Lepisosteus oculatus: one gene and its partners. The protein of the gene in region 1 interacts with the protein of each later gene in a pairwise test. Links are inferred from orthologs where the notes say so. Each region holds a gene or a part of one and is shown in the gene's direction. Other genes may lie near its edges.

Region 1 (7,086 bases):
AATCACAATTTTTTTCATTAGAATCCTACAGCACATTTTTCTCTGGTGAGGTCTGAGGTCTGATGTCATGAAGGGCAGTGGGTTATTGCTACATAAAATGTGTGCATTTCAAGCTTCCTAAAGAGTGATATTCACTGTAGATCTCAAATCTGAAGCCGGAGGAAAGCAACGGTTTAGGTTCGAATTTTGATTTCTCCATCATCCTTAATAAATCATGAAGCAAGTGAACCAGTGATGGATTATATTAGATTAACCAGATTCCTGTAGTTAAAACACATACATATTTTTACTAAAGTCATATCTTTATTACTGAGCCCAAATTGTATCCATTTCTAGATTGAAGATTTTTTAAATATTTACGCAGTTTTATGGGCAGGAAATGTACAGTATTTAAAATGTGGCGGCACTTTTGTCAGTAGAGGAAAGCAATCTACTAAAATGAAAATCATTAAATCCATATTGATTTTATCCAGCCCCTTAACCAACATTCAGCACTATTTCTATGTGCATATAAATGGAAATACGTCTGCTTACAAAAAAAGCTATAGTCAAATGTCTAAATCCCATTATAAATTTCTCTGGAGTTTGTTTGATGATCATCAGTTTATTCATTTAATTTGTAATACCTGATCTGCCATTTGAGAACTTCAGAATATTTTCTTCCATGAATTATGAAGGGAGGCTAATTATTTCTTTGTAAAAGGTTCAGCTTGTGCTGAGAAAGTAAATCTGTAGACTAGACATATTTTTGAGGTGATTCTTGGGATTTCTTAGATGAAATCAAAATGAGCTCAGCACCGCTTGAGGTGTATCGATAACTGGCTACACCATATGAAGATTCCCAGCATAAAATGTATGAATGTAGTGTAGATAATTAGCAAAATGTTCAATCCAACAGACATTTATGAGGTCTTGATGATTCTATTTCGGTGTGTGTTAGCCAATAAACTTGAAAGTTTACTTTGTTATAATCGCCAAGATCTGTTTTCTTCCTTTATTAACAGAACAATATATCACATATTTGAAGTTATGCTTGTAACGCGTCCAACTTTTCCTTTGTTTAATGAAGCAGACTATTCCTGCCATAATCAAAAAATATTCCCTGTGAAAACAGGAGCCCCTCCCCCCACAAAAAGAAAGTGAAAGAGTACAGTTCTAGTTAGTCAGATGTTTATTCTTATTTTGAAAGGGGGATTCTGAAAAAATCCACTTGATCACAGGGAGAACATGCAAACTCTACTTAGTTTAAAAATTCAACTTCTAAATATTAACCAAGCCATGCTTGACTGAACTGGCGAAGATGTGAGGACTAGATCTTATTTACAGTATCTGCAACATGATTACAGCTTCTATAATATACTGTGGATTACTGTCTTCCAGACAGAGAGAGTGAGAGGCTGTCAAAGGCTAAGAAAGCCCAGTAACTCTGAGAGCAAGTCCGCTTGAAATTTGTTAAGGAGAGCTTTAAGAGGAGAGATGCAAAACTCGGGGATTGCATTCCAGATGCTGTTTACAGACAAATAAGTCCCTAGTGACCCAGTCTGAATCACCGTAAAAGTGATGTTTTTTATTTTTCTCCTTTGGCCCATTCCCATAGCCTGTTATTAATAACCACAAGTACTTTCTTTCTCTTACGATGGTCTTTTAATAGAAATGTAGCTAATGAATTGTTTCCATCGCAGCCAGGAAAATTACATTGTTTTGTTGAGTGCTCTGCAGTCCATCCATTACACATTAAATCGTACTCCCAAACCCTTTATGCAATTTCACAGTTAAATATCTTCTTCACCTCAGGAGAAACAGCTGCAGAACCCCATAGAGTACATGAAATACTAACACAGCAGGGCAGACTTGAAACTGCATCAGGTGATATAAGCAAGCAAACCACAGGGAATTGTAGTGCTGTATCACAGAGCAGTTGCCATATGTACAGTAGATACAACCCATGTCAGAGCATCCCTAGGGTTTTCAGTCAAATGTCAGATAAAAAAACACCCTGAGGTGTAAGGAATTTAATTCAACATTTAAAGCTCAGCTACATCAGTCTTTATGTAAAAACCTCTTTCGTAGCTGAGACTGGAGGCTGTAAATAAAAATAAAGCACTAATACAGGTAAAGAAACTATTTTTACCACCTAGTTAAAAGTCCTTGATAATAATATCACTGTCTGCCATACACATGAATAATTTATGCATTCTCCCACCTTTCATGTTTTTCCTTTTTTTCCTGTTTTTTAAAATTTGTGGATCGCTCAGAGACAGACACTCCAGTTTCTCAAGCTAATGTAACAAAAGTGTGAGGTTTTCTAAAGTTACTGATATAACTGAAGTAGTCATTTGGGTTGATACCATTGAGAACTGTACAATTGTGGATTAAAATCAGTTTATCTTCTGTTTTCAGAGCTAACAAGATATCCCACTAACCTCTGTGCCATTGCTCACTTTTCCCAGCAGGCATTATTCCTGCATTTTCGTATCTTTCAAGTTCCCATCCCAGTGTTTTATTTCCTGTACACCTCAGTGCTTGCTTTTCCTGATTTTTGCATGAACATTTTGTCCTTTATGCAATACTCCTTGGAGAGCAGCCATGCATGTGTCCTGAGATTCCCAATACAATAGGGTTTAGTTATTTGCTCTGTCTGTTAGATTTTGAAAATGCAACATTTGACCTGAAATCTCTGAGGCAGGAATCTGCAGAAATAGGTTAGACCATCCATGAAAGAATGCGTTTGTCCAGGTTTTCCATATATAGATATAGATATTAGTAGTTCAGGTGGGTAGCTGCGTCAGCATGCGTAGGCTGCAAAGGAACAAGTAATAGGTTTATTCCATGCTGAAAAAAAGAAGAAAGAGAACACAACGTTTCAGCCGTGGAGCCTGCTCGCCTGAAGTTCATACCTGAAGAAGGCTCCACGGCCGAAACGCTGTGTTCTCTTTCTTCTTTTTTTCAGCATGGAATAAACCTGTTACTTGTTCCTAGATATAGATATGCCTAGAATAAGCCTTTCAGAAAGAGATGATTGTGAAGACACACTGAAATGTGGGAATTAGTGCGCAGTTACAGTATATTCCTTACCTTAGCCCTGTATCTGATACGTGTGGGTTCACAGAACTGTGCTGCAGTCTGTGGAAGCAAATGAAGTGGACAGAGTGTGGCTTGCACAGTGAGTGCTATTCAATCGTCCATCCAGGGCAGGGAAACAAGTTCAGGAACTGCAGACAGACGTGGACAGAGCGAGCCCATGTCTGGGACTGACGCCTGCTTGAATGGAGCCTTATTCACAGATGTCATTTAATCTGCGCCAGAAACCCAGACACACCGAACACTCAATGAGAATGAATGTGGAAAGGCTTGTTTCAAGACCGCAGGATGATTTTTTATGCACTGTTTTATGACATAAGCTGATACAGTGTTTGAAATCATGGAGGTACTGACAAAACATCTGTAAATACTACAATCTTCTTAAACTGATTAGATTAGATTAACAAATAGATGCAACAAGGTTTTTTACATCTAAACTCACTGGATTGAGCATATACTCTCCTTGTTTACCCTGTAGCTGTCAATCTGTTTGCTGATGTATCCAAACATGGCCTTAACAAGTTGCAGCATGTTAAGATCTCACCTGCCTGGGTCTTAACTAAAATTAAAATGCATTTTTTCAATGGAAAATTGAATTCAATTCTGTTTAATTTGCATGTTGTTCTGTTTAGTCTACACTAATTAATTGATATGTTAATTAGTGTACACTTGTCTCTGTAGTTGTAATTTTATCTTGTTATATTGTAAATTCGTTTCCATGATGTTACAAAACACACTTGATTGAATGAAAACTCTTATTCTAACACTATTTTTCTTTTGGTAGCAGATGTTAATGTCTCTCATAGTGGGGACAAGAAAAGACAAAAGGGTTCTGAAATAACTACAGCAAATAAAGATATGTAATTTATCATTGGAAACACCAGAGCCTAATTTATCATGATTCCTCATACCGCTGTCCTGGGGGTAACACAGCAGTGACGTACTTTTCCTGCGCCGTTGCGACTACAGTCGACTACAGTTCTACGACTACAGTTCCCAGAAACCTCTGTCTGCAGCTCGGACGGGTGTTTCCGATATGAGATCCGTGAGAAAACTGGAAACGAGTTTAGTACAGCTGTCGGAAGAGCTCGCAAAACGACGCGTGTGTTTATTCCTTGAAATCAGCCTTGTGTTGGAAGCTGTAGTTTTGCATTTCGTTTTATTAATGGTATATTTGTGTTGTTTTTTTTAGTTAAGGGGGAGACTTCCTATGATACTGCCTGTGTAAATTGTTTACATAGCTACAGCGCTACAGAGACAGGAGCTCAGAATGGATAGCATTGAAGTTGGGTATTGGGTGTTTAAATTGTTGTAGCAAGTTTAAATCTAGGTATACGTGCTGTAATAGTTTCTATTATTTTCCGGCTGTGGCGTGCTTGAGTCACTCGAGTGATGACAGCCGTTCAGGACGTGTAGGGTAACTTGCTGTTTCCATTTAAATTGAGTTTCGGTTCGGTTCGCTTGTGGACAGCACAGGCGACAGGGCAGAGGTGTCGTGAATAGCGCACTGGCTATTTTATCGCATGCATTCGACTGAAAGGGCAATACACGATTAACCCGGTGAACAGTTCTAAATGACGTTTTATCCTAAACGATTAACCAGGCTGTTTTTTTTTTAATCTGCCAGTGAGCTACGCGAAGGATGAGCAGTTTCGGACGCGTTGACGGTGTCGCAAGTTGGGTCTGGTCTCGGTGATCTGCGACTCCTGTTTCATGATTGCAGCGCGTAGTCCAGCTCAGCGAGTCTTGCACGGCCGAGGAGGAGAAGTTGCCGTCTGTACCGCAGCCCGGCTCGGGTGGAGATGGCGGCGGCTTCCGCTCCGGGCGGTAGCGGGTCGGGACCCCCAGCCGACCGGGGCTCGGCGGCGCAGCTGCAGCCGACGGTGGCTGTCTGGGAGTGGGCGGACGACCTGGGGTACTGGCGCCCGTACAGTGGCCAAGTGAGCGGGTACATTGAGCGGTGCCTCCTGACCCAGCGGGGCGGGGGGCCGGCGAACACCAGCATCTCCCTGGGACAGGCTGACCCTGCCCTGGCGCCCTACATCATCGACATCCCCAGTCTGAAACAGTTTCGCCAAGACACGGGTAAGTGGCTGTGGTTCTTCATTTAGAAGCGTTGGTTAGTGCCCCTGCGCCTCTGGGTTGCGCCGGAATGTGACCAACCTTTCTCTTGGCAATTCGTGTAATTTGGAATTGACTGAGTCTCCTGGGATTCCCCGTCCTTTTTCTTCTCAACGTTACTGAGTAATCGTCAGTGACGTAATGACTCTGTCAATGTCTTTTAGCTCTGTAGACGTTCAGTGTGTTTTTTTTTTAAATTTCCAGTGTTTAATCTTACAAATCTAGCACTTCATCAGCAATGGTGCCCGTCTGTAGGTACAGCAGCGTCAGTGTATACAAGGAAGCAGGATCCTTTACTAAGTTTTCAGCTCAGTTGAGAAAATAGTGCAGTTAGTTCGGCAGGCTATACAATATAGGCCTACTGAGTGGTGTTTGTCAGTTTTAACTTTTGCCCATCAAAGAGCCAACTGCAAGCTGAAAGACGGATGGAAATTAAAAAATAATAAACCAGTCGTATTTCTCAGCTATAAAATCTATTTCAGCTGAGATTCCTGTGACATCGGTAACTTTCAGGATGGCAAGAGATCACCAGACTGCAGTCTCATCAGTGGGGAAGAGCTCAAGAGTGCATATTTCACACACATCACTGGAGGGACCCCAGCTGTTCAAACAGATCAGTTACTATGGTGTCCAAATCTGATGGCCCAATTTCTTTGTTTTTCTAAATGGTGAAGATTGCTTAAGGTGCTGACTTGTTCTCATCTTGTGCATGTACTGTATGTTTCTTGTTAATGCTTTCATGTTGTGTTAAGTGTATTGTGTGTTGTTATATTATGTCTTCTACCTACCCCCAGAGCATATTTCCTATCTGGGACAACAAAGGAAGTATGTAAGCAAATGTGTTAATTAGTTAAGATTCCTTAGCAAAAGAAAAAAAAGTCCCAGAATGTTTAGTTCACCACTGAATGGGTGGAGGTATGATGGAAACTGCAGTAAATGCACAGAGGACCTGAAACAAAGAGGCCTGCGTGTGCTGGCGAGGAGGCAGTGTGCAGCACTGGAGTGCGTCTTTGTTCTGAGGGCTTGTTACTGGCACACGAGTGGCTTGGAGCAGGGTGCTTGCTGCCACCTGCTTGGTGCAGACGGGAAGCTACAGAAAAACCGCAGGAAATCCAAACTACATTAACTTCAGCATCTGAACATAGCAGGAAGCCCAAAACAGTCTATTGGTGGGGATCAGCAGCCTTTCGCACACTAGAAAGAGACGATTCTGCAAGCACAGGCAGCTTGTATTGATGGAAGTGTAGATTTTGCAGCCTAGGAAAAGACTCCCTCTGACCCCAACATTTATGCCATCAAGTTTACTTTTTGCTGCAGCATTGGTCTTGGTAATTTCTGCTTTCCTTAGGTTGAAACAGGATTACAACCAATGTCCTTTGATTTTTCTAATCAGTGCCATGATTGCAGAGGATTAGTGTTGTGGCTTGTTTTAGTCCTATTGAACACAGCACTTGTCCAAAAAGACCATCAGCTTATACCAATGGTCAGTCCTGCTTGATCTGACCATGTGGCTCTTTCTGAGTAGAAGCAGAAATTTGTGAGGCAGTTGACCTCTGATTAGATAATAAGAGTTTCAAAGATTGTGTGGGTGGAAAAAACCTAGTAGCAGGTAACTTTTGACTGGGACCGATAGGTGATGCACAATAGTGACAGTGCTCAGAGCAGATAATTGCATGGGTCTTAATGTAACACAACAGATAAGTTCCCTAAGCCTTTTAGATATAGAAAACCATTTCTGATATGCCTAAAAAAAGTGAAAAATGTCTTCAAAAACAGAAGATAGCATTTTTATCATCTTTTGAAAGGTCATTTTTTGGTTGGTTTCTTGTTCCTGAAATTTGAAATCATTAATATGAGGAAAGAAAAACAAACAAACTGCATGCT
Region 2 (7,355 bases), on another chromosome or scaffold:
TGAGCAAAGACAAGAGAGAGAGATTTTAACATTAATTGATCACTCTAACCTGCAGCGTGATTCTGGGGTCAGTTGCGCTTGTACTTTAAATTCCAATGTGCTGCGTAAAACTCTCAAATGAACTGTGACACCTATACCGATAAAAATGATTAATTTAACTTACCAATCTGCACATCAACAAATAAATGGGTTTTGTTTACCCTCACAGTCACTCTGCTTGATCAAATTGTCTACGTTTCTGTTAAGAAAAATTGGGCGATTGCTTTGGTTGTTTCTGTTAGTGCTCAGAGTGTTGCTAAAAAGGAGATGGTTATCACTGTGGTATAACAGTGTTTAGAGCAGAATACTAAAGCTTGTGCAATATGCATGTTTAGTGAATCTACTATGCTCAGTTTTCTTGCAATCTGAGTAAGGGAATTCAATCAAATAAAATGAAAAAATAAATGTTTTGTGAAACAGTTTTTATTTTTTTTAAATAAGAATAAACAGTATAATTGAAAAACAGAAACCACCTCACAAAAACAATTTGCCAATGTAACAAGTCAAATAAAAAAAATTCTGGCCTTTATAGAGGTTATCAAACAAAAATTAAAACATTTTCTCTTATGTTTCTCAAGATCATTACTAAATTACTGGATATCCATTGCAGAAAGATTCATATAAAGTTTTATTTCTATAGAGCACGACACTTTCAGGCTGTCATTTAAAGTCATTATTTCTGGTACAACCTGGAAAATATAGTTCTGCACAATATCAGACTTAAATGGTTCTTTGACCCGGCCCAACAGTTTTTCCAAGAAATGAAATATTCAGGGGTTCATAAGATTTCAGCTCCTTCCGTAGAGACAGAAGAGTGATCTGTTGCATTAAAATGCCTTTTGTACTTCTTGTCTCTAAGTAATGTCAGGCATAGATATTGACCTTTACCAAACTGCATCAGCTTATTTTGAAAAGTTTAGGCAGCAGGGAAAATACATTTTATCTACTATATGACTGCAGTTTGCTTGCCACCTTTCCAAGTAAGGATTTATGATGACTTGAATGGCACGCCTGGTTAATTCCCAGAGTATGGTGCATTTGCGTGGTTCAGAAATATTTTTGGTTCAAGAGCCTCAAGGTTACCCTCATAATTCCAGACTGTTTTATGGAGCGTGTCCTGGGAGATGACAGCAATTTCTTTAAAAAAAAACACGACCTTTCCTGACAGATTTTATGGTGCATCAGAAACACTTCAGGAAGACTTTTTTTAACATTTACGATCAAATCGCAGTTCATCTTGAACTACTAAAATTATAATAGTCGTCATGGGAATAAACAAGAGGTAAATGCGTATGCAGAAATAATGAATATGAATACAGTAAAGATTCAATCCAGTTAGTGACTGAATATAGTTAGTAACAAGATAAGGACACAATGAATGATAATATAGCATCGGCTTAACTTGACAGAATTTCATCAAGAACATTTCCTTGATTCATAGTTATTTTGTCAGAACACCACAGAGAAACATTAACTGTTATCACCACCAGCATGCAAAGCACCTCATTATCTGAGGAAGGAGATCTCCAGGAACTCATTAGTACCATTCTGGGACAGGAAATTCTAAGATTAACCAAATATAGAATAAAAGTGATCTTCTGTAAAACTTCAGTGTAAGTCTAGATCTTCAATATTTTATACTAAAAGTCACCCAAAGAGACTCTTTCAAATACAAGGCTTTGAAAAAGACCCATTTGTCTTGTTTCCTCTTGATGAAGTTCAGACCAACTGAATTTGATATCCAATTGCCAGAGTAAATAACACCCTTTAGACGGGTTAATTCAAGTTCAGTAAAGGAGAACCAGGAGATGAGAGAAACCCCTTACAGCCTGTGCTGTTGGATGCCTCCAGTAACTCTCTCAGAAATGTTCACGCATCTTGTCCCTTACAGTCATAATATTTTCTTATGCTTCATTGGTTGTGTACATTGCAGTTTCTTTTTAAAAAGGCTCATCTGCATCGATCATACTACTTACTCCAACCAGAATCCTATTGAAAAGGAATATTGAAAAATGCAAATCATTGTGTGAAAATGATTTAGCAAGTGAAATAGAGGCTGCAGGATTCAGTTCATCCAGAGATAACTAGTAAATTGGAAACTGAGTTTCACAAGACCCCTATCAAAGCATTATTTCATCATTAAAAATCAGTCATCTCATTAATAATTAAGTTGCTCCTGAAGGGGAAACCAAAAATATATACAGTCTTTTAGTACGCCTCTAATAATGAGAGCAGAATTTAACTTTTGCCTCTGGGTTCACAAGGGTTCTGTACTTTGGTATAATTAATATTTTTCAGCTGGATTGTCTACTTTTAGTAGCAAAACATATTCATAATTTGTTTTCATAAACAAAGTTTAAAATTGTATGATGTGCTCTAAACTTGTTTGAGGCCTTCTCTAAACTTCAGAATGGTAAGAAATCACTTGCACTAATTAAAATGAATCTGGAACTGCACATTCTGGAAGCCAGTTTCTGCTTTCTATGCACTAAGGTCGCCTGCTTGCCTGAGGGTGAGAAATTCAAGTGGTTAATGAGATAATGTAATAGTTTATTGCCAACTTTCTTATTCTTTCTTTTCAATAGTGGTTACCCATTGCATTCTCACGTTACTCGTTACTACTACTCTATAGCAGTCTAAAACTTTATTGAAAACCGCCTGCAGCTCTAGAGTATTAACACATACTCTGCTAGGTTCTGTTTAAGGCACTTCCTTTGATCAATATGCAGCTCAGCTACTATTACATATGGTTAGATTGTAGTTTCCCCTGACTTCACAATTTATTTTTATAAAGAGAGAAGGTAATACCCTACCTTGACTTTCTTTTGTGTCACACCTGGTGGTAAAACAGTAATGACTGTTCCATGCTGCTCCTATTAACAAAGTCACCATCTTCTGTCAGTCACTGACCCTGTAGCTCATTGTGATATTCCAGTGCCCACTGCCCTATGAAGGAAGACCATGTTATTCCCTTCTTGAGAGTGAAATGACAAGTACTGTATCTTGGCTTATAATGAAAATACCTTTGCAGTCTCCCTGCGACAGAAGCCACATCCTCAATGGTCGGTCAAGTGTGTCATACTCAACTCCTGGACTTCAGATCTCAATTATGGGTTTGGGTTGGTGTGCTTAAACATTTTAAAACATGACCAGATACATTGCTTAAAGGTGTGAAAGAGTTGTTTGTAGAATGGTGAATTGTATTCCAGTTAATCAAAATATTGGACTGAACAAACAGGGTTGTGGAATGGACTGGAAGTCTGAAGAGGAGTCTGACAGCCTGTAGTTAATAAAGCTCAGTGTTTTTGTAACAGACAAGCAGGTCACAAACCTACGTCCTGCTGGGAGACTGTACCCTAGGGCACATCAAACTAGCACTGGGGTCAGTACTCAGAAAGGACCTAGAACAGGCTCAGGGTTATTCTTTCCACTTCATCCTGTAGCTCTGCCTTCTTCCTGTCTCTTGCAGCCTTTCTTATTTATGGCTGCCTTCACCCTGCCTCATGTCAGAATAACGGGCTCTGCGTCTCCGATATATGCAGTTATCACTGCTGCTCCCAAGAAGAATATCTCTCTGTTAGCATCATTTCCTTTTTCTCTCAATCCGTCCACGTGGGGAACCGTCTTTAGGCCTTTGGACTTGTAACTGTAGGGCCGTGGGTTCAAATCCCAGCTGGAACCCTGCTGCTGTGGCCTCCGACCTCAGACTGCTCCAGTAAAACACCCAGCTGTATAAATGGGCATCCATGAAAGCTGCTTTCAATAAAGTTGTTAGCCAAATACGTCAGTGACTGTATCTTGCCCATGATCCCCTCTGTGTCCCCTGTGAATCTCAAATAACCTGCAGGAATGATCACTGGGATATTTTTTTCTGAGAGGTGACTGCAAGGCTGCACAGCAATCCTTTAAGACACTCTTGGGAGAAAAAAAATCACTAGTAAACTGCAACCAACCCTTCAGCTCCCGTGTAATAATAGCAGCTTAGCTACACATTCCTGTACAAAGGAACGATGTCCAGGACATTGAGTTAAATTATTTGTTAAACCGATTCATCTCGGGTTTGTAGACTTTGTTAGTGTTTTTTTATGCTCTATTACTTGATTTCAGTTGATGCAAATATTTAATATTTATCACTTAGGCCTACTTACTCATCTAAAAAAAAAAAAAAAAAAAACGAGCAAACATCAGTAGCGCTGATTTTACTAACCTGTGCAGGTGAAGCACACAGGCGCGAGGCGCAGCGTGAGCCGCGGCCGGGCACCCACAATGCAACGCGAAGGGGCCACGTAAACATATTCGCCCCGCCGTTGAATGAGGAAGGCGAACATGGATGAAATGTGACTCGGGGAGAAAAAAAAAAAGAATTTCGCGAAAAGGCTTTTCATCAGCAGCCGTTTAACGCATGGTCCGTTTCAGGTCAGCATACTGATGAAATTCACTCACGCTTTTGCACGGTTTGTCGCTCGTGGGCCTGCTTCTTTGCGCGGAGTTTAATAAACCCGGCGGCGAGAAAAGCCTCTTGATTTTAGAGATCTCTTTCCGAGCGCTGTGTTTCTGCCAGGGAACTGAAAAAAATAACATTTAAGGTCTATCTCTTTTTCATCAGATGGCCGTTCCCAGGAATGACTGCACTGCAGTAAGTGGGTATAGAGGGAGGCGGGTTCGGGGATTGAGGGAGACGAGTGCATTTGATCTGTTAATGTTACGCTCGTTACTAAAGCTATTACAGAAATGCATTCATGTTTTTTTTTTAATTTATGGAATTCGGTTCCCTTATGTCTTGCTGCCGAGAGTCGATTTTATTTTAGAAAGGCGATACCGTTACAGCTGCAGGCTACGTCCAGTCCAGCTGTTTGTCAGCGGGGATCTGAGGTTTGTCCTGTGACTCGGTATGCCTGTCGACTGCCTTCGTCAGGTAAACCTGCGTATCGTAAGGCGTTGCTGTGGCGAATTATGCCCATGATGCAAAATTATAAATGTCGGTAAAAGAGGACGATGGGTGTAAAAACGGATTTGTTACAGTAAATTAATCTTCTTGCAACTCAGCCATCCAGGCGTCGCCCCTAATGATCGCCTTCACATCAATAACGCGGAGAAGTGGTTTTGTGTTAGTTCATGCTGTCCCTATGGTAAGCGTTACAAGCAGTCTTGAGTTTTCAGAAATGAAATGTTAAGGTGTTAAGGCCATTTTTTTTCACACCCCCAACCACAGCTTCCGTGAGCATTAGATGAAACCCTTATTTCCCCGTTTTCATTTCGCCTGTAAAGGCGTGCGGAGTGCCCGGCGATGTCCGCGCCTGCCCTGCCTGTCGAGAGCTGTGGTCGCGCACACTCGTTCTGCAGACGTTGGCACGGCTGTTTGATGAGCCCTTTCACGACGCACCGCTGAAGAGCTCCCCACAAAACTCAGCCTTGCGGTTTTATTTCATCCGTGCCTGGCGTTGCGGTTCCGCGGGCTCCACGGCCGCCGGCTCACGGTGGTGTGTTCTCGGTGTGGCCGTGCTAGGACGTTACCTGCAGGGCGCCGGGACTCTCTTTCAGAAGCTCTCCAGGGTTACAGATTTTCCCAGGGCCCCGATCAGACTAACGATCCGCAGCGAAGACATCTTCTTGATGAAGTGCAGTATTCCATCAGGATAATTGCGGAAATAAGCAATACATTGAACAGACTGCTATATTGCCGGGGTCATCATTCCTTGATGTCCTACCCTGAAAGTATTTGTGTCTTACAGTCATTTTACAGTCAGTCCTGGTTTCTCAACCAAGCGTATTGATTGTGGAGAACAGCTTGACAAGCAGGCCGGTAATGTCCATAGGACATAGGAAATGAGATGCAAGAAAAGTGGGTAGGCATTTACTTACAGTACTGTCTTATCCTGTCTGTGCCACACAGGTTTTCTTTTATTCTTAGGTTGCAGCGTGATTGGCAGGCATTTAAGGAATGCTTTATTCTCATTCCCGCCAGGCACTTTGTGATCCCTTTTTTCCCCGATGCTTGCAGTTTTGTGTTTGGCAAGTGCTCCCGGGAGGACGAGTTAACCTCTGTTCATCCTCGCGGTGCTTGGAGATATTTGTTTTGAAGGGGAAGCTTGGATTCAGTTGCCTTTTGACTGGAGTGGGATTGTCTTAAATGTCTTCTTAATTCGTTGTCAGGTGCTTTCCATTCTGCAATCAGAAATCAAGTGGCAATAGCTTTTAATTAACAGATGTGTTGGAGCCAACGTCCTGCGTGTGTGGGGTTGTATTACTGTTAGTGGGAGGGCAAACCTTGAGAAAAAGTCTCATGGCTGTTATCTGTTTGTCAGGGGTTCGATTATTTCCAGAAGGTCGCCACAATATGAATGACCCTTTTTTAGCAACAAAATATATTTTTTTATGAATGGCATGTGGATTAATTATAATCCACCTTTCATTATGTAAAACAAATCAAAATAAATTCCTGCACGTACAAGAATAAAAACAGACATACACGTGTGCAGATAATGGTGTATTTGTTGGACTGTATCTGAAGGAGCGAGGAGTTCCTGAGAAGAGGGCTGGAGAGCAGGTGTTTTATACCTGCTGGTATCAAAACGGTTTGTTTCGTGTCTGCCTTCACCCCGCGACGAGTTTCATTCTGGGGGGTTATAGACTGGGAAACAAAAATGGACTTAAGAGTCAATGGGAAGACCACAAGGGTGCAGAAATCCAAGCGTGAATGTGTAAAACTCTTTCTTCCCTCGGCAGGTCGGGTTTCTTTTAATGTCATCCCACAGGGTGGTGGTTAGTCTAATGGGTTCGGGCTCCTCCAGCTGCCCTGCATTTTACAGGGTTGTTCAGCTCGGAAGGTGCTGTTCCAACCCCCTCTCCAAGCTCTGACTTGTAATAATGTCACAGGCTCTCGTTTCTTTTTTTTTTTTTGCAAAACGGTATTCTAGGTTCGGTGCAGACTCTTAGAATGAAAAATAACCGCTGGCGTTTGTATATCACTTTTCTTCCCGAAAGATATTTTGTGCTTGTGCGTTGTACTTTAATCTTGTAATGTGAATGTTCATGTATTGCTAGGCTTGATTGAATCTGCTTCATTGAAATGTACTTTCTTGGCTAGTCGGGAGACAGTTATTCTTATTATATTGGAAGTGTGTCTTCAAATCCATTTAGCCTACAGTTAGGTTAACAGCAGCAAAGGTTATTGCAGCCTTCTTGATATTGAATAAAGTGTATAGCCTGTGCTTTTACTTCAGTCCGTCGTTTTCTCTTTTTCTTACGTAAAGGCAAATCATGTTTGAACCTAAAAAACAGGATGAAGAAATAAAATGTTTGCTAATGCTAATGAT
Region 3 (7,914 bases), on another chromosome or scaffold:
TTCTTTTACTGTATGTCCCCATCAAGACAACGTGGGAAGCAATGAAGAAATAAACACGTTGGGGTAAATTTCAAAAGATGTGGCCACTAAATCCTTAAACTTAGAAGAAAACATTCAGGTTACAGAGCAGGAAATACTTCTTTACTCAAAGAGTGGTGGATGTCTGGAACAAACTCCCCAACCAGGTGGTTGAGGCCCAATCTCAGGGCACCTTTAAGAAGGAGCTGGACAACATTTTGGATTCACTCAGCTGCAAAACAAGTACACGAGCAAAATGGACTGAATAACCCCCTTTTGATAGCAGACTATTCTTATATCTCCAAAGACACCTATGTCTTCCACATAATAAGCATGTCAAAGACACTGATTCACAGATGGAAACTTAAAGGGAATTCATTTAGAATAGAAAAGAGGAAACATTTGTTTACTCAAAGTGAAGTGGGTGTCTGAAACAGGCTTCCAAGCCAAGTGGTTAGAGTCCAAACTATGTCCCCTTTAAGAAAAGGCTGGATAACATTTTAGATTAACTTAGCTTAACTAGTAAGCTACAAAGTGACTAAGATGTGCCAATGACTTCCTCCCGTCTGCAGACCTTTCTTATGTCCTTATGTTCCAGTCTGCCATCAAATCTAGGACCTAAGAACTGACCACTACACCATCAAGCCACCCTCATGTACATACAACAGCACAACAGTAATACAGTGCCTTGCGAAAGTATTCGCCCCCCTTGAACTTTTCAACCTTTTGCCACATTTCAGGCTTCAAACATAAAGATATAAATTTTTTATTTTATGTGAAGAATCACCAACAAGTGGGACACAATTGTGAAGTGGAACGAAATCTATTGGATTTTTGAAACTTTTTTAACTAATAAAAAAATGAAAAGTGGGGCGTGCAAAATTATTCGGCCCCCTTGCGTTAATACTTTGTAGAGCCACCTTTTGCTGCGATTACAGCTGCAAGTCGCTTGGGGTATGTCTCTATCAGTTTTGCACATCGAGAGACTGAAATTCTTGCCCATTCTTCCTTGCAAAACAGCTCGAGCTCAGTGAGGTTGGATGGAGAGCGTTTGTGAACAGCAGTTTTCAGCTCTTTCCACAGATTCTCGATTGGATTCAGGTCTGGACTTTGACTTGGCCATTCAAACACCTGGATACGTTTATTTGTGAACCATTCCTTTGTAGATTTTGCTGTATGTTTGGGATCATTGTCTTGTTGGAAGATAAATCTCCGTCCCAGTTTCAGGTCTTTTGCAGACTCCAACAGGTTTTCATCCAGAATGGTCCTGTATTTGGCTGCATCCATCTTCCCCTCAATTTTAACCATCTTCCCTGTCCCTGCTGAAGAAAAGCAGGCCCAAACCATGATGCTGCCACCACCATGTTTGACAGTGGGGATGGTGTGTTGAGGGTGATGAGCTGTGTTGCTTTTACGCCAAACATATCGTTTTGCATTGTGGCCAAAAAGTTCGATTTTGGTTTCATCTGACCAGAGCACCTTCTTCCACATGTTTGGGGTGTCTCCCAGGTGGCTTGTGGCAAACTTTAGACGAGACTTTTTATGGATATCTTTGAGAAATGGCTTTCTTCTTGCCACTCTTCCATAAAGGCCAGATTTGTGCAGTGTAAGACTGATTGTTGTCCTATGGACAGACTCTCCCACCTCAGCTGTAGTTCTCTGCAGTTCATCCAGAGTGATCATGGGCCTCTTGGCTGCATCTCTGATCAGTCTTCTCCTTGTCTGAGCTGAAAGTTTAGAGGGACGGCCAGGTCTTGGTAGATTTGCAGTGGTCTGATACTCCTTCCATATCAAGATGATCGCTTGCACAGTGCTCCTTGGGATGTTTGAAGCTTGGGAAATCTTTTTGTATCCAAATCCGGCTTTAAACTTCTCCACAACAGTATTACGGACCTGCCTGGTGTGTTCCTTGGTCTTCATGATGCTCTCTGCGCTTTCAACAGAACCTTGAGACTATCACAGAGCAGGTGCATTTATACAGAGACTTGATTACACACAGGTGGATTCTATTTATCACCATCAGTCATTTAGGACAACATTGGATCATTCAGAGATCCTCGCTGAACTTCTGGAGTGAGTTTGCTGCACTGAAAGTAAAGGGGCCGAATAATTTTGCACGCCCCACTTTTCATTTTTTTATTAGTTAAAAAAGTTTCAAAAATCCAATAGATTTCGTTCCACTTCACAATTGTGTCCCACTTGTTGGTGATTCTTCACATAAAATAAAAAATTTATATCTTTATGTTTGAAGCCTGAAATGTGGCAAAAGGTTGAAAAGTTCAAGGGGGCCGAATACTTTCGCAAGGCACTGTACATCAGTAATACACTGTGCTCATTATAAAAGGTATAAGTGGCAAATACTGTATAATTTGGGAATATTTTGATATGCAGTAGGTGCTTTTTGATTACACTGTATTTTAAGCACCGTGTTCTAACCAGAGAAAACATTCTATGACATATTTCCTGTGGTATGAATTGGAATATAGTCACATGTGAGCATCTTTAAAATTTAAAGTTGGAAGAAAATATTGTTTTACAGCTAGATTTACCTGTATTGAAAATATGCAATTTAGTCTCAGCTAATGGTGTGAATAACCCAAAAATAATAAGATGTTTTAATACACACACCAATATCAATAGTAGTGAAGGTGCCGATAACCTCTGTAATTTCACCTGGGACAACAGTGATAACCTCCAAATGAGGAAGGACAGGAGAGTTTTGCAAAGCACTATTTCTGCAAAACTTTGCATGATTCCTTTTAGACAGCAAAGGTCTGGCAGCCTTTGTGTTAGTAGAATCCAGAGCGGCCTAGAATTCTGCTGGAGCTGAGAATGACCTCTGATGTGCACTCCTGTTTGGCTTTTGGCCTGGACTTTAGCACCAAAGGATGTTTGCTTTAACTATGTTATTTGCAAGTCAAGACAATTTTATCACTCCTGCATTTGTACTTTAAGTTTCTCTGCGTCATTTGCTGACGGAACAATAGATTGATCCTAAAAGAATCATGTTGAGGATCTGTGTAAATTTAATATCAACATAATAAGAAAGTATATTAGAAAAAGAGTTCCTTATTTGTGCACATCACCATTACAATCAGGAGAGCATTCTCCTTGGGTTACTGGATTTAATTGATCTATTTAACAATAGCTTCTATCCACAAACAGTGAGACTGGCGAACACATTTAGCCATCCCCCTCGGACCACACCTACACCATCACCATCTACCTCTTTATGATTTCTTATCTATTGCACATCTCCAGTCATTGTTTACACGTCTGTATTGTTTACATTCAAACTGTCTACATGTTTACTTGCACATTGTCTATTGTTTGTACATTGTCTTGATGCACTGTTTGCACTTTGTCTTGTTTTTTACACTTGTTTTACAATTGAGAGACTTTCTGTAAGTAAGAATTCCATTGTACCAGTACCGGTTACATATGGCAATAAAGTTCAAGTTCAAGTTCAACAGCAAAATATGTTTTAACAGCATAGCTGGCCTTTTGAACATAATTTCACATAGTTTTGGAAATGCTACACTTTCACAAACTAAAAAAAATACTTACAAACAATATTTTCTTCCAACTTTAAATTTTAAAGATGCTCACATGTGACTATATTCCAATTCATACCACAGGAAATGCACCTGGTTATCTGGAGTATGTGGGTTAAATAAACATCTGTCTATACATTTACAGTACATATGGGGGAAAATAATTCAAATTAGAGGTATTTCATAATCTTGGATTGCATTTTAGTACTCCCACATTGCTTTTCATGTATGCAACTACAAAGAGATGGAATCAAATCTAAATTTAGGACTACTTGAGATTATGCCATAAATTAATATCTTCTAAAGAAATACTTCTGGTTATGTAAAACATGATTAAGCATGAGTACCCGACGGACTTCAAGCATAATTACTACCTGACATTGATACTTGAGTTATGTCCTTGGAAACCCCACACAGTCTCTAGTTTGTTTTAATTGAAATTAGGCGTTGTGTATGAGTTTTGCAAATTTCGTCATACTGCTCATGCCGTTTAAACAATTTTCTGACTTTATTTCTTCGACTGTTTTGACAACTAATACTGCCCTCTTTTTCAATCCCAAGAAAGATTTCAAAGTAATTTTTATGCGCAAAGGTTAAAGTGGAAAAAAAAGTTTTCGTCTCTTATCACTGCTGATAAAGAAGACGCGGTAACTAGATTGATCTGCATTTTGAAACACAAATCTATATCTACCGTGACACCGTTGCTTCGGCTTAATTACTATAAACAACAAAAAAATTAAGAATCTACATAAAAATAGGCAGGGTTGCGCAATGTATCACAATTCAATTGACAAAAGATAGGGCATGTACTGTAATTCTTTACTAGATGATCGTCATTTGCTCTAACCCGGACAAAAAAGTTAATTATCTTTGATAATTGCCATGTTAAGTGTACCGGAGAAACAGTCTGTTTTGATTTAATACTGTCCCTCAGCGAGTGAGATTAATACATTGTCCTGTCCTGCACCGCCGAGACCTGGGTTCCCAGCTCAAACTGTTTTCCCCCCAACGCGTCAACAAGAAAATCGCGGTTCTTTGATGTGGTGCGTGGTAAAATCACTCAGAGCCGAGATGCATCAAATTAGACAAGTTGTTGAAATTAATATTTAACACAATGTGCAACTTCATTAACAATGAACACCCACGTCCTCTAACTTTTACGATGTTGCCTTCCCCCTGTATGCTAAACTTTGTATATTAATTAATTCAGGGGAAGTCTCGCGGTGTTACCTTTCAGACATCTTGCATCTGAAAGGGAGCTTATTTGTTACAAACGAGGTGAAAACGTTTAAGTTCGGTTGATTTACTCGTATTAAATGCTCCTTGATCGGTTTTCCTTGCAGCGATTGCTCATGAAGTTGTAAAGAGCGGTATTGTGCTCGAGTGCAACACCGTAGCTCTGATTGTCTTTCCTCGCGTCTTGCTTTGTGCGTCATTATCCTCTTTTCGTTTGATTATTTTTTTTTTGCAACGAGCCGACATGGCAACACCCGCTGCTGTGAATCCAACTGGTAAGTACGTGGTTTAATTCCATCATTTCTTTCTTTATTACCAGTAGTTCAATCCCTTGTCGAGGGGGTTGTGCATCGTGTAAGTTTATTTTCTCTAAAACAAAAGAAGCCAGCAGTTGGGTTTATGCTCATGTCTGTCACTCAAACAGCATCCCCTTCCCCCTGAGCCTAACGTACAGGACACTGTACCGTTTTCTGAAATAACCGAGAAAAGACAGATGCAGTTTATAACATATCGCTACATACAACATACAACTGTAAGCTATACAACAATACTCTACCACATTCATTTAGGTGTCTATCTTCTCAACAATCCGACTGATGTCTCTGGAAATGGAAACGACTTGCTGAATACATTAGCAAGCAGTAGCCTACGCGCTTTGACTTCATAGGTTTCTCTCTTAAAATCTTGAAGCTTTTTCCATAGTTAGACAGTTGACATGTGTTTTCGTGGATGTCCAATTTCAACTCCACAGCGTAGCGTTAGGTTTATTATAACAAAGTTACTTCGTTTACTGCTTGTTGCTTCTACTGCCTGTTGATTATCTTGCAAGGAAATGTGTAAATCATTTAAAGGTAACAAAAATAATTTTGTTTATGAGGACAGAAACGTTTTTTAAAACATTTGGATTTTTATTTTGTTTTACGTACGAACATTTTTATGTTAGTCATTATGTACAGAACTACAAATGGTTCATTAAGTACAGTATGGTCCTACTCTGTTGCACGTAAATCGTCTCTTAAATGCACGTAGCGTGCTTCTACTGTAGTGTTGCAGCTTAGTTATTTTTTATGGTACAAATTACGGTTTCCATAGGTTCATGTAAAGTTTTCTGTAAATTGTACTTCATTTGCCTTTAATTGAAAGGCACATGTTTTTAGATCGAATTGGTACTTTCTGTTTATGCACCCTTGAAAGCTGAGAAAGGTAAAGCAGTTAATACAGTACACAATGTTAGGATCAGAGTTTGTAGATGTGAATGTATGTAGGATTTCATGCTATTTATTTTAATAAGATAAAAATGCTCGGTGTATGGGCTGTTTTCATCATTTATAAATTAATCTTACTGTCTTTGATACAGGTTGGAAAACAATTTTATTTCATATTTAGTTTTTTTAAAATATAATTTTTACATTTAATAATATAAGAACATTTAGATGATAAATGAATATATTTCCACTTGGAAAAATTAATATTCCACTTGGGTACTATAAAAGTAATTTACAACATGCTCAAACTGAGCCGAAATAAAGTTCTATTTTAAATACTGTTAACACTGAAATATAACTCCAGCGTCTGATATTCTACCAGTTGCACTTAAGAATACTGTATGTTCTATTATTAATCATTTAACGCAAGTTACACAGTGTAGTGCTAATATCCAGTGACTGGGAAACTGCTAATATAGCCTCTATGAATTTAGCCCTGTACCTATTACATGTCAGATTATGTGAATGATGCTAAGTGAAAATAAACTTGAAAAGAAAATAATCTTCTATATGGCATTAGAATCACTGAGGGTAATCAATAGATTTAGAAAAGGAAGGTCTTGCTAAACTAACAAGTTCTTACATATTAACATGCTGAAGAAGAAGAAGAAGAAGAAGCAGCAGCAGTAATGGCTGAATTAAAAGGCAGATGATATATTTGGATTTTTGGAAAGCTAAATTGATCAAGGTCTTTATAAAAGATGGCATTCAAGATAATGCATGTCTTTGAATTAGAAGTTGGTAAAGGGATAGAAAGAGTCCAGATGCTTACTTCTGGGGTGATGTCGTTAGTGAGGTTCCACTGGATTCTGTATAAGGCCCACTAATTTAAATCCATCATCTGGATTCTTCAGTCAAGTCAACACATGATCCCAAGATAAGGGAGTCTTGTAGAAAGTCCTCTTCTACAAGACTCCCTTAAGAGGAATAATCCTCTTAAGAGGAATAATCAAGGAGCCTAGAAAAACATCTGGCAAGTGTCTTTTAATGCGCCCAAGTCCAGAGTGTTGCACAAAGATACATAAACTAGAGAAATGGAAAGCATATCCTTGATATAAACATAAATTAGTTATAATATGGGAAACGCTGCGTTTTAACAAGATTTCTATAATTGTGACACATCATTTAGATCTCCTAGACAGTGTGGAAAAGCAATAAAAAGGCAAACGGAATGTAAGCTAGTCAGTGGATTGCACTTATATGCACTTATAAGATCTCATTCAGAATATTATATACAATGTTAACAGCCAAATTACAAAAAATGATACTGCTGTTCTGGAACTGGAAAAGAGAAGAGTGAACAGTCACATTCCCAGTCAGAAAGGAATGTCCTACTGTGGTGGGGAAAAAATGAATGAGTTTTGAATAGAGAAGAGTAAAGGGAATGTAATCCAGGTATTCAGAATCCTCAAAGGCACTGACATGTCAGTCTAGTGGGCTTAAAATCAACAGCGCGACATCAACCAGAGGACATAAGAAATTGCCTTTAAAAAGGAGAACAGTAGGTGTCTATTTACATAAAAAGGTGTGAAAGTGTGGAGCAGCCATGTTATCCAAGCTAATATTTTGGCTCCTTTTAAGAAACAGCTGGGTGACATCCTTGGATTGCTTAGCTACCACCAAACAAACTAGTTGGGCCAAAAAGCCTCCTTTCATTTGTAACCTTTCTTGTAATTTTATGTAATTCGTAGTGATTATAATAGAAACAGCTGGACCACGTCCTCTACAGTACAACACTACAGAACACAATGTGTGCAAATATTAGGTCCATAGGCTTGTGTGCAGAATTTAAACAAGCATTTCCCTTATTAAAGGTTTCGCTGCTTTATTTGAATACTATT
Region 4 (7,358 bases), about 1.2 Mb from region 1:
GGCATTAAACAAACAGAGCCCATGACTCCAGCCAGCTGGGTGGACTGGAGCTAATTGAGTGAGGCTGTGATCATTGAAGGGACACAGCAGGGTCTGTTGGGCCTTGAACCCACAATCCATCGGTTGTGAGTACAGAGACTCAAACACTACATGGCCCTAAGATATACAAGGCAGTATTCTAATATTATTAGTCTGTGTATATATACACACACTGTTTCTTATTATTGCCTCTGTCAAGCCAAAGGACAATGTCCACTTATTTCTTGTGGACAATAAAATAGATTCTGATTGAGATGGTGCTGTTAATCTTTTACTGAAAGTATTATAACACATTTTTCACTGTGTTTACTATGATACTGTTAATAAGGATCATTAGAGTTACATGCAAGCCTACAGTCACTTAAGAAGGACGGTTTGCCAAACTTCATAGTTACTCAACCGCCCAGTGTAGCAGTACAGTCATTTTTTCATCACAACGCAAAAAAAGGCATCTCTTTTTCGTAACTCTTCTAATTATATGCATTTCTCTCAAAAGAAAGGTTTTCATTTCGCATTCTTATTTATTATTGTTTATTTATGATCATACAACGCTGTGTTTAGTAGTCGTAGTAGTTTAGGGAGCTCGTCAGCAGACAGGTGTGTGCTGCCCCCTGGTGGCCGGACCCCAGGCCTGCCGCGGCCGCCATTGCTCTGTCCTAATTCCGCCGCGGCGCGTTTCTCCGGCTCCTTCTCAGGGACAACTTACTTCAAGATGAATGCGCCGCCGGCATTCGAGTCCTTTCTGTTGTTCGAGGGAGAGAAAAAGTGAGTAGTACACGTTTATTAATCGTCTGTTTTTAATTTTGTGATGAGGTGTGCTAAATTATTCCGAAGAGATGCTGCGATAGCGCCTCGCTCATCGGCAGGAAGCTGTTCCTGGGTTGAAAACATATTATCTCCAGGCTTTTGGCCCAGTATGAGTAGAAGTAGATTTTAAATTATAAAACGTAAAATGTACTGGTCGTGGCTGCGTTTTAAATACCTGTGAAAGACTGTTTTGCTTTCTTTTCTTTTCGACGGAAGCGTTTGAGGGGGAAAAGAGATCGATTGCTTCCGTCTGGAATTTGCTATCGATGTTTTCCGTTTTCTGCCAAACCGTTTATCATTATTCCCTCCAAAAAATCTCAACAAAACCCTATTTTGAGAACCCTTTGCCCCCCCTTTTTAGTGGTATGAACGGTTTTTAATAAGTCTTATCAGTGTATGTTGTTTTACGTCAGAAATACCTTGTATATATTGTGCGCAGAGAGCGGAAGGGTTCGGGTTTGTGTCCTTCGTAGTTTGTGAATGTTCAGATTTCTACCTAAATACATTATCGGAGTTGAATTGTATTAATCTAAATACTCATAATCACCCGAGGTGACACCCGTAGAAGGCTCCTCGGGCGAAACGTTGTGTTTCTTTTCTTCTCTTGTCTAAAAGATTTAAATGTCATAATTACAACCGTAATATAAAGGGTGTGGGATATAAAAGCTGTGTATTATGTGATTACGTTCTATGTTTCTTTCTGAGCACCCTTTTCTTGCGTTATATTTAAAGTCCTGAATTCTGCCTGTTTTTTCACCAGTTTTAGAGCTCAGCCCCATTGCCACACTGTAATTGAAATGTAAAAGAAAATGCCTGTGATGCTTACTTTGTTTAAGGCTGGGGTAGCTCAGGCTCCCTCTGTCTGGTGACTGTACCTACAGTTTGTCTTTGCTTCTGTTGTTTCTTTAGAATTACAATAACCAAGGACACGAAGGTCCCCAATGCCTGTCTGTTCACTCTGAACAAAGAGGACCATACCCTTGGCAATATCATCCGATCGTAAGTCAGCAATTCATAGACTTGAGAGAATTTTCTTTTAGGCAAGGTAGTTTACACTGCACCAATTTATAACTGAATCTCATTTATAACCAAGTGTAAATCTCTATGGAGGGCCAAAAATGTTTGCATCGTTTTCATTAGGACAGGATGATTACATCACCTATTATTTTCACATATCAGATGCATCAGTGCTTAGTTCCCATGACCCCTTCCGGGCCTGGAGCCCAGCAGAGATGATTTACAAGCTCCTTGTGCTCAATCCCCTTACCGCTGTGTCTGTGACCCACCTTCACATGTCCGCAGGCAGCTGCTGAAAGATCCTCAGGTGCTGTTTGCGGGATATAAGGTGCCCCACCCCCTGGAGCACAAGATTGTGATCCGTGTGCAGACCACCCCGGACTACAGCCCTCAGGAGGCCTTTACCAACGCCATCACTGACCTCATCAGCGAGCTGTCCCTGTTGGAGGAGAGGTTCAGGGTGAGTCTCGACCACCTGCCTGTCCGTAGGGAGATTACTGGGGCCAGAGGGTGGACAGTAGATGCCCGAGGCAAGGCGATGGTACACAATAAGAAATGATTTACATGCTGTACAGAATTATTTTACAGAGGAACATGCAACTCGCTTGGTGGTATAGCAGGAACAAAATAAAACCCTTTAGCTATTTTTTTCTATGGAAAATGAAATAGTCTAATCTTATTCATTGAACCTTCATGACACTGCTGTAAGCTGTGTGCCAGTTAAGAAGAGATGAAAGTATTTGCTGTTTATTATTACTGTTCTAGTGATTTAAGAGTGACTTCAAACACCGTGATCTTCCGGGGTGCAGCCAGATTGAAAACATGCTGAATTCCAGCAGGAGTACTGGTTAGAAATTCACCTAACTGAGCAGGGATTGGAAACGGGCCTGTATTCATTAGGAGAATTCAACATCTCATAGGTGATAGGGCTGTACTATCACTAAAACCCAGACAGAAATGCTTGTGATTTCCTCCTGGTCTGTTGGAGACGTGCTCTGAGTCTGCGGCAGGAAGCCCTTCCTGGCTGGTGTGAGTTTCGCTCTTGGGAGATGAGGGTTGTTGGGGGGACTACTGACACATCTGTCTTGCAGGTGGCCATCAAGGACAAACAAGAAGGGATTGAATGAACGGTGTCTCCTGCTCAAGTGCTTCTCCCTCGACTTTGGATGCTGAAAGAGCTTTCCCCCCATCAGAGCCCTGTTCATCATGCATTTATATTAAACCCGAGTGTTTCGTGAGCAGGGCCTGTCCAACTGCTCCCATGGCAGGGCACACCCGTGTGGCAGCTCTCCCCGAGCCCAGTGGTGTGCCTTGCTGTATGTCCTACTGTGTCACATAGTATCAGTGTATTAGTTCACTGACTGTCTTCCTTTTCATTTCCAAAGCTGTTCTGTCAGAGCATTCAAGCAATTATTGTAGGAGCTGTAATGATTATGGCAGGTAATGTTCTAGTAGGTTTTGATTTCGTTTTATGTAGGTTTATTCTATAAAGTTTGATTTAGTCATTATTTGAGATGTACAGGGTAGGCTTGTAAATTATGACGTCCCTGTCTGAATTTTCAATACTGTTTGCGCATTATATAAATGCTTTAGCCCCAACAAAAGCAACCTGTTCAAATAAAGTCAGGTTTTTCAGCATCTTAATTGTGAAACATAAGGCAGCCAGTGTGTTTTTGAAAACTATCTTGTATTTAAGTACAAGACTAATTTACAAGGTGCAAATATATTATTGTTTCATGAGAAGGTCTGTCTTAAGAGGTCTGAATCATTCTGTCATCTAGCTGGTCTCAATTAATTGAATTTACTAGTCAGCAAGGAACATGTGTGTTTCCCACCCTTTTTGTAATTGTTTTTAATAATGTGCGTACATCCAGAGTATGTTGCTTTGTAGTCGGTAAACCCTGATTTACTTGTAAATAACTAGAATGTTACGTTTTGTAAAATATTTGATTAAAAAATTGAAAAGTATACTGTTGTGTTTTGTTTTAACTGGATGTTGAGTGTGTAAATTGTAGAACTCCCAGTTTCAATTCATTTTCGTCAAAAGTCATTAAGCCGATGAGAAATTTATTTTAAAACTCTCCTGCCTGGATTTCTAAGGGTATCGATTTGTTTGATGTTCTTCACATGCTGTGGGTTAAAAAACAGTAAATGCTCATTTTTAGGATTTTATTTGCTTAAGCAAAGACTTTATCTGTTGGATAATGAAAAACGAATGGGAGCTTCCTGGACACTGAAGTAACAATCACTTATTGCAGAATATCTCAATTTTGTTTCTTAAACAATCACTGCTGCTGTTTTTTACGCATTAGATATTGTACTGTTAGGTATAGATACTGTTGCATGACGCCGGAGACCCAGGTTCGAGGGCACATGCCCGGAGAACCCGAATCCGTTACAATGTGGAACCATGTTTGGCGGAAAGAAGTTCCGGGGGGCACATTTGGATGTAACACTGGAGGGCTTTTGTGGTGGTGCTGTGTGATGATCGCTCCCTGTTGATGGTCGTGTTTACACCGTGGGATTGTCGACCTTTATGGCGGACGAAGAAGTGTTACAAGCCAACTGTGCCTGTAAAGGAATCCGCTCCTGTCTGATCTGTGAAAATCGCAATGGGAAACTGGACAACCGGATTAATGTACAGCAGGTACGATGTCACACTGTACGTGTACTGAGAAGTTTCATACACCAGATTTCGCTCTTTGGCATTATTTAAACTGTAAAATCAAGTTTCAGAATCTCTACTTTGTTTTGATCATTACATTCGCCGCTACAAGGATACCTTAAAAAATGAGCTGTGGGATTGTATACAACTAATCCATTTAAGAATGCTTTCAGTCCGAATGGTAAAAAAAGACTTTACCCCCTTTTTAATGTACTCGATACATTCATGACTAAATAATACACTCCATTATCAATCATCTGAAAATATAGACCACCATCTGGTAAATGCAGTTCACCCTACAGTTAAGAGAAGATCTGAAAAGTTATATTTGCACAATTTTTCATTAATAAATGGAAACAGCAAACTGATGTGCTGTATAATGCTTTGAGATGCAGCTTTTTTCCATGTGATTCTTTGTTTTCTATTCAGCATCATTATTGTTGGGATACTTGTATTTATTAAAGCAATTTTTGGATAGAATCCTGGGGAACTGGATTTGGACACAATCCCCAGCAGATGGGGCCATAAAATAGATCTTTATACTATAGTAGCTGGACAGTTCCTGACTGCAGAGTTGTAAAGCACTTTCTGAATTCTTTTTTTGCTGTTGTTTTCCCCTGATAAAAAATGCCTGAAGAGATTGGATTCCCCGACGGTCTCCAGCACTCTGTTGGTGCTGTTCTCAGATTACCCCTCTCCTCCTTTAGAAGACTCTTAAATATTCCTAAACATTCTTGTTTTACTCGTGAAGGTGTTAAGATGTATAGCACAGCATTAAAGGGGGATTTGTGTTTGTCTGGGTTTGTATGCGCACGTGTCACGTGTCGCTGCGTGGCGGTAAGGCCCTGCGGCAGGTCGTGAGCGAGCCGTGCAAGGTGTGAACATCATGGCGGTTTCTCTGGCCACACAGCCGCGCCGGGTCTTCGTGTACGAGCCGTCCTCGGGGCTGGCGGTGAGAGCGGAGGCTCCAGGAGTCCAGGAGTCCTTCCCGTTCCCCGGGGTCCTGCTGTGGGAGAACTTCGTGTCGGAGGCGGAGGAGCAGGAGCTGGTGAGCGCGATGGACCGGGACGCCTGGAGGGACTCGCAGTCCGGCCGCAGGAAACAGGTCCGGTAGCAGGAGAGGCGCTCGGTGACTCGTGTCTTTTCTCCGTGTGCTCTTTCCCCCAGCGACGAGTGCTTCTCTAAATGAACAGCACTCTCCAGGAAACGACATGCACAGCTGATTCATGGAAAAACCCTGCATCTGCTTTTTTACATCCTTTATTGTCATTATGCGGGGGCTAATGATATTATTTTTTCCCACATACATAAAAAAGAAGCAGACAGTGTTGAATTACTTTTTACATCATTTGTATAGTCTGTTGCATCTTTGTTCCTATCACATGACTGAGAGTCTCAACATAGCTTTCCAGTTTTGATGATCTTTTTACAAATTGATGGCTAATTCTGTGGGTATTTCTTTCCATGAGATAGATTTCGTTCCTAGAGATCTTCAACATCTGAACGCTAGGTCTGTCCAGCTTCGACTGGTTTCTGGTGATTTGGTTCAGGCCTGCGATTCAGACGTTACCCAAGGGGCACTTTTCTGCCTCTGCTGTTCGTCCAGAAGCAGATTTCTAGGGTCCAGTTTAAATCTCAGAAAATCGTTGATATTTCCGCAAGCATCTTTCCCCAGTCTCTGCGTCGTGTGGGGTTTTATAAGAGACGTGTCTTTCCGCACCGTCAGACCATCGTTCTGTGGTGCCCCAGTGACTGTGCTCCTCCCCCCCAGGACTTCGGGCCCAAGGTGAACTTCAAGAAGCGGCGGGTGAGACTGGGGGGCTTCAGCGGCCTGCCCCCGTGCAGCCGGGAGCTGGTGCGCAGGATGGGCCGGGCGCCGCTGCTGGGGGGCTTCCAGCCCGTGGAGCAGTGCAACCTGGACTACAGCCCCCAGCGCGGCTCCGCCATCGACCCCCACCTGGACGACGCCTGGCTGTGGGGCGAGCGCCTGGTCACCCTCAACCTGCTGTCCCCCACGGTGCTCACCATGAGCCGGGAGCGGGCGGGGGCGGGGGGCGTGTGGGTGCTGGTGCCCCTGCCCCGCCGGGCCCTGCTGGCGCTGTACGGGGAGGCGCGGCACCAGTGGGAGCACGCGGTCCGCAGGCAGGACATTCGGGACCGCCGGGTCTGCGTGACCTTCCGGGAGCTGTCTGCGGAGTTCCTGTCCGGGGGGGAGCAGGAGAACCTCGGCTCTCAGCTGCTGGACGTAGCCCTCAGCTTTCAGGGGATCCCAGTGTAGCAGGCCCTGGGAGTCCAGCTGGGGCGGAAACCTTCTGGCCTGGAGCCCAGGGGTGTGTGGCCCAGGTGTTCGGATCTCCCCGAGAAGATATTCCATGTGCTTAGCTGAGATCCCTCTCTTCTGTTGTCTCAGCTTGATTCTGAAAGAAATTGTGTTCAGCTGTTTGTACGTGCTTGACTGTATTTATTAAACTGTTGATTTGAGGTCTGAGATGAATCAGTGTTCTGTCTGAACGTCCCGTGGTGGATATGGAGCCTACGTGCACGCGGTGGTTTGAGGGAGTCTTCGCCTTCTGAGGAATGTGGTATTTTGTTTGGTAAAACTAAACGTTGTAGAGGAACAGGATGCTGAATGGTGAAACACAGAAATTTCAAGTGTGGCTATGACCACTTCACTGCTGCATGAGGAGGTCAGACCTGGAGTGATTACTGCACAACAGACAGATAGATCCCAGTTTTTTGTGCTGTGATGTTCATGTTCCTGCTTTTGGAGGTGGCCTGAGGCTTTGTTCTCCATTATGTTCGTTGAGAAAGGTGTATAGTTCATGTGTAA

Evidence for each region.
Region 2: the proteins of dtx2 (region 1) and sec22a interact in binary tests that used the Homo sapiens proteins (3 or more experiments, as listed by UniProt). The two-hybrid records come from large-scale screens. The link is inferred for Lepisosteus oculatus from reciprocal best matches to the Homo sapiens genes DTX2 and SEC22A.
Region 3: the proteins of dtx2 (region 1) and arnt2 interact in binary tests that used the Homo sapiens proteins (3 or more experiments, as listed by UniProt). The link is inferred for Lepisosteus oculatus from reciprocal best matches to the Homo sapiens genes DTX2 and ARNT2.
Region 4: the proteins of dtx2 (region 1) and alkbh4 interact in binary tests that used the Homo sapiens proteins (3 or more experiments, as listed by UniProt). The two-hybrid records come from large-scale screens. The link is inferred for Lepisosteus oculatus from reciprocal best matches to the Homo sapiens genes DTX2 and ALKBH4.

The regions. Positions count from the first base shown.
Region 1 is NC_090721.1:2,532,819-2,539,904, forward strand, and holds the start of dtx2 (probable E3 ubiquitin-protein ligase DTX2), read left to right. Parts: upstream 1-4,083; 5' UTR 4,084-4,249; intron 4,250-4,708; exon of another isoform or gene 4,709-4,804; 5' UTR 4,805-4,883; coding exon 4,884-5,166; intron 5,167-7,086. UniProt on the Homo sapiens protein: Regulator of Notch signaling, a signaling pathway involved in cell-cell communications that regulates a broad spectrum of cell-fate determinations.
Region 2 is NC_090707.1:4,672,585-4,679,939, forward strand, and holds the start of sec22a (vesicle-trafficking protein SEC22a), read left to right. Parts: upstream 1-4,338; 5' UTR 4,339-4,455; intron 4,456-4,607; exon of another isoform or gene 4,608-4,675; intron 4,676-4,949; exon of another isoform or gene 4,950-5,168; intron 5,169-7,355. UniProt on the Homo sapiens protein: May be involved in vesicle transport between the ER and the Golgi complex.
Region 3 is NC_090700.1:42,151,554-42,159,467, forward strand, and holds the start of arnt2 (aryl hydrocarbon receptor nuclear translocator 2), read left to right. Parts: upstream 1-4,790; 5' UTR 4,791-5,052; coding exon 5,053-5,083; intron 5,084-7,914. UniProt on the Homo sapiens protein: Transcription factor that plays a role in the development of the hypothalamo-pituitary axis, postnatal brain growth, and visual and renal function. Specifically recognizes the xenobiotic response element (XRE).
Region 4 is NC_090721.1:1,371,043-1,378,400, reverse strand, and holds alkbh4 (alpha-ketoglutarate-dependent dioxygenase alkB homolog 4), read left to right. Parts: upstream 1-4,307; 5' UTR 4,308-4,399; coding exon 4,400-4,510; intron 4,511-5,438; coding exon 5,439-5,633; intron 5,634-6,299; coding exon 6,300-6,806; 3' UTR 6,807-7,013; downstream 7,014-7,358. Other genes in the region: polr2j (DNA-directed RNA polymerase II subunit RPB11-a), read left to right, coding at 752-804, 1,756-1,845, 2,149-2,323, 2,955-2,990. UniProt on the Homo sapiens protein: Dioxygenase that mediates demethylation of actin monomethylated at 'Lys-84' (K84me1), thereby acting as a regulator of actomyosin-processes.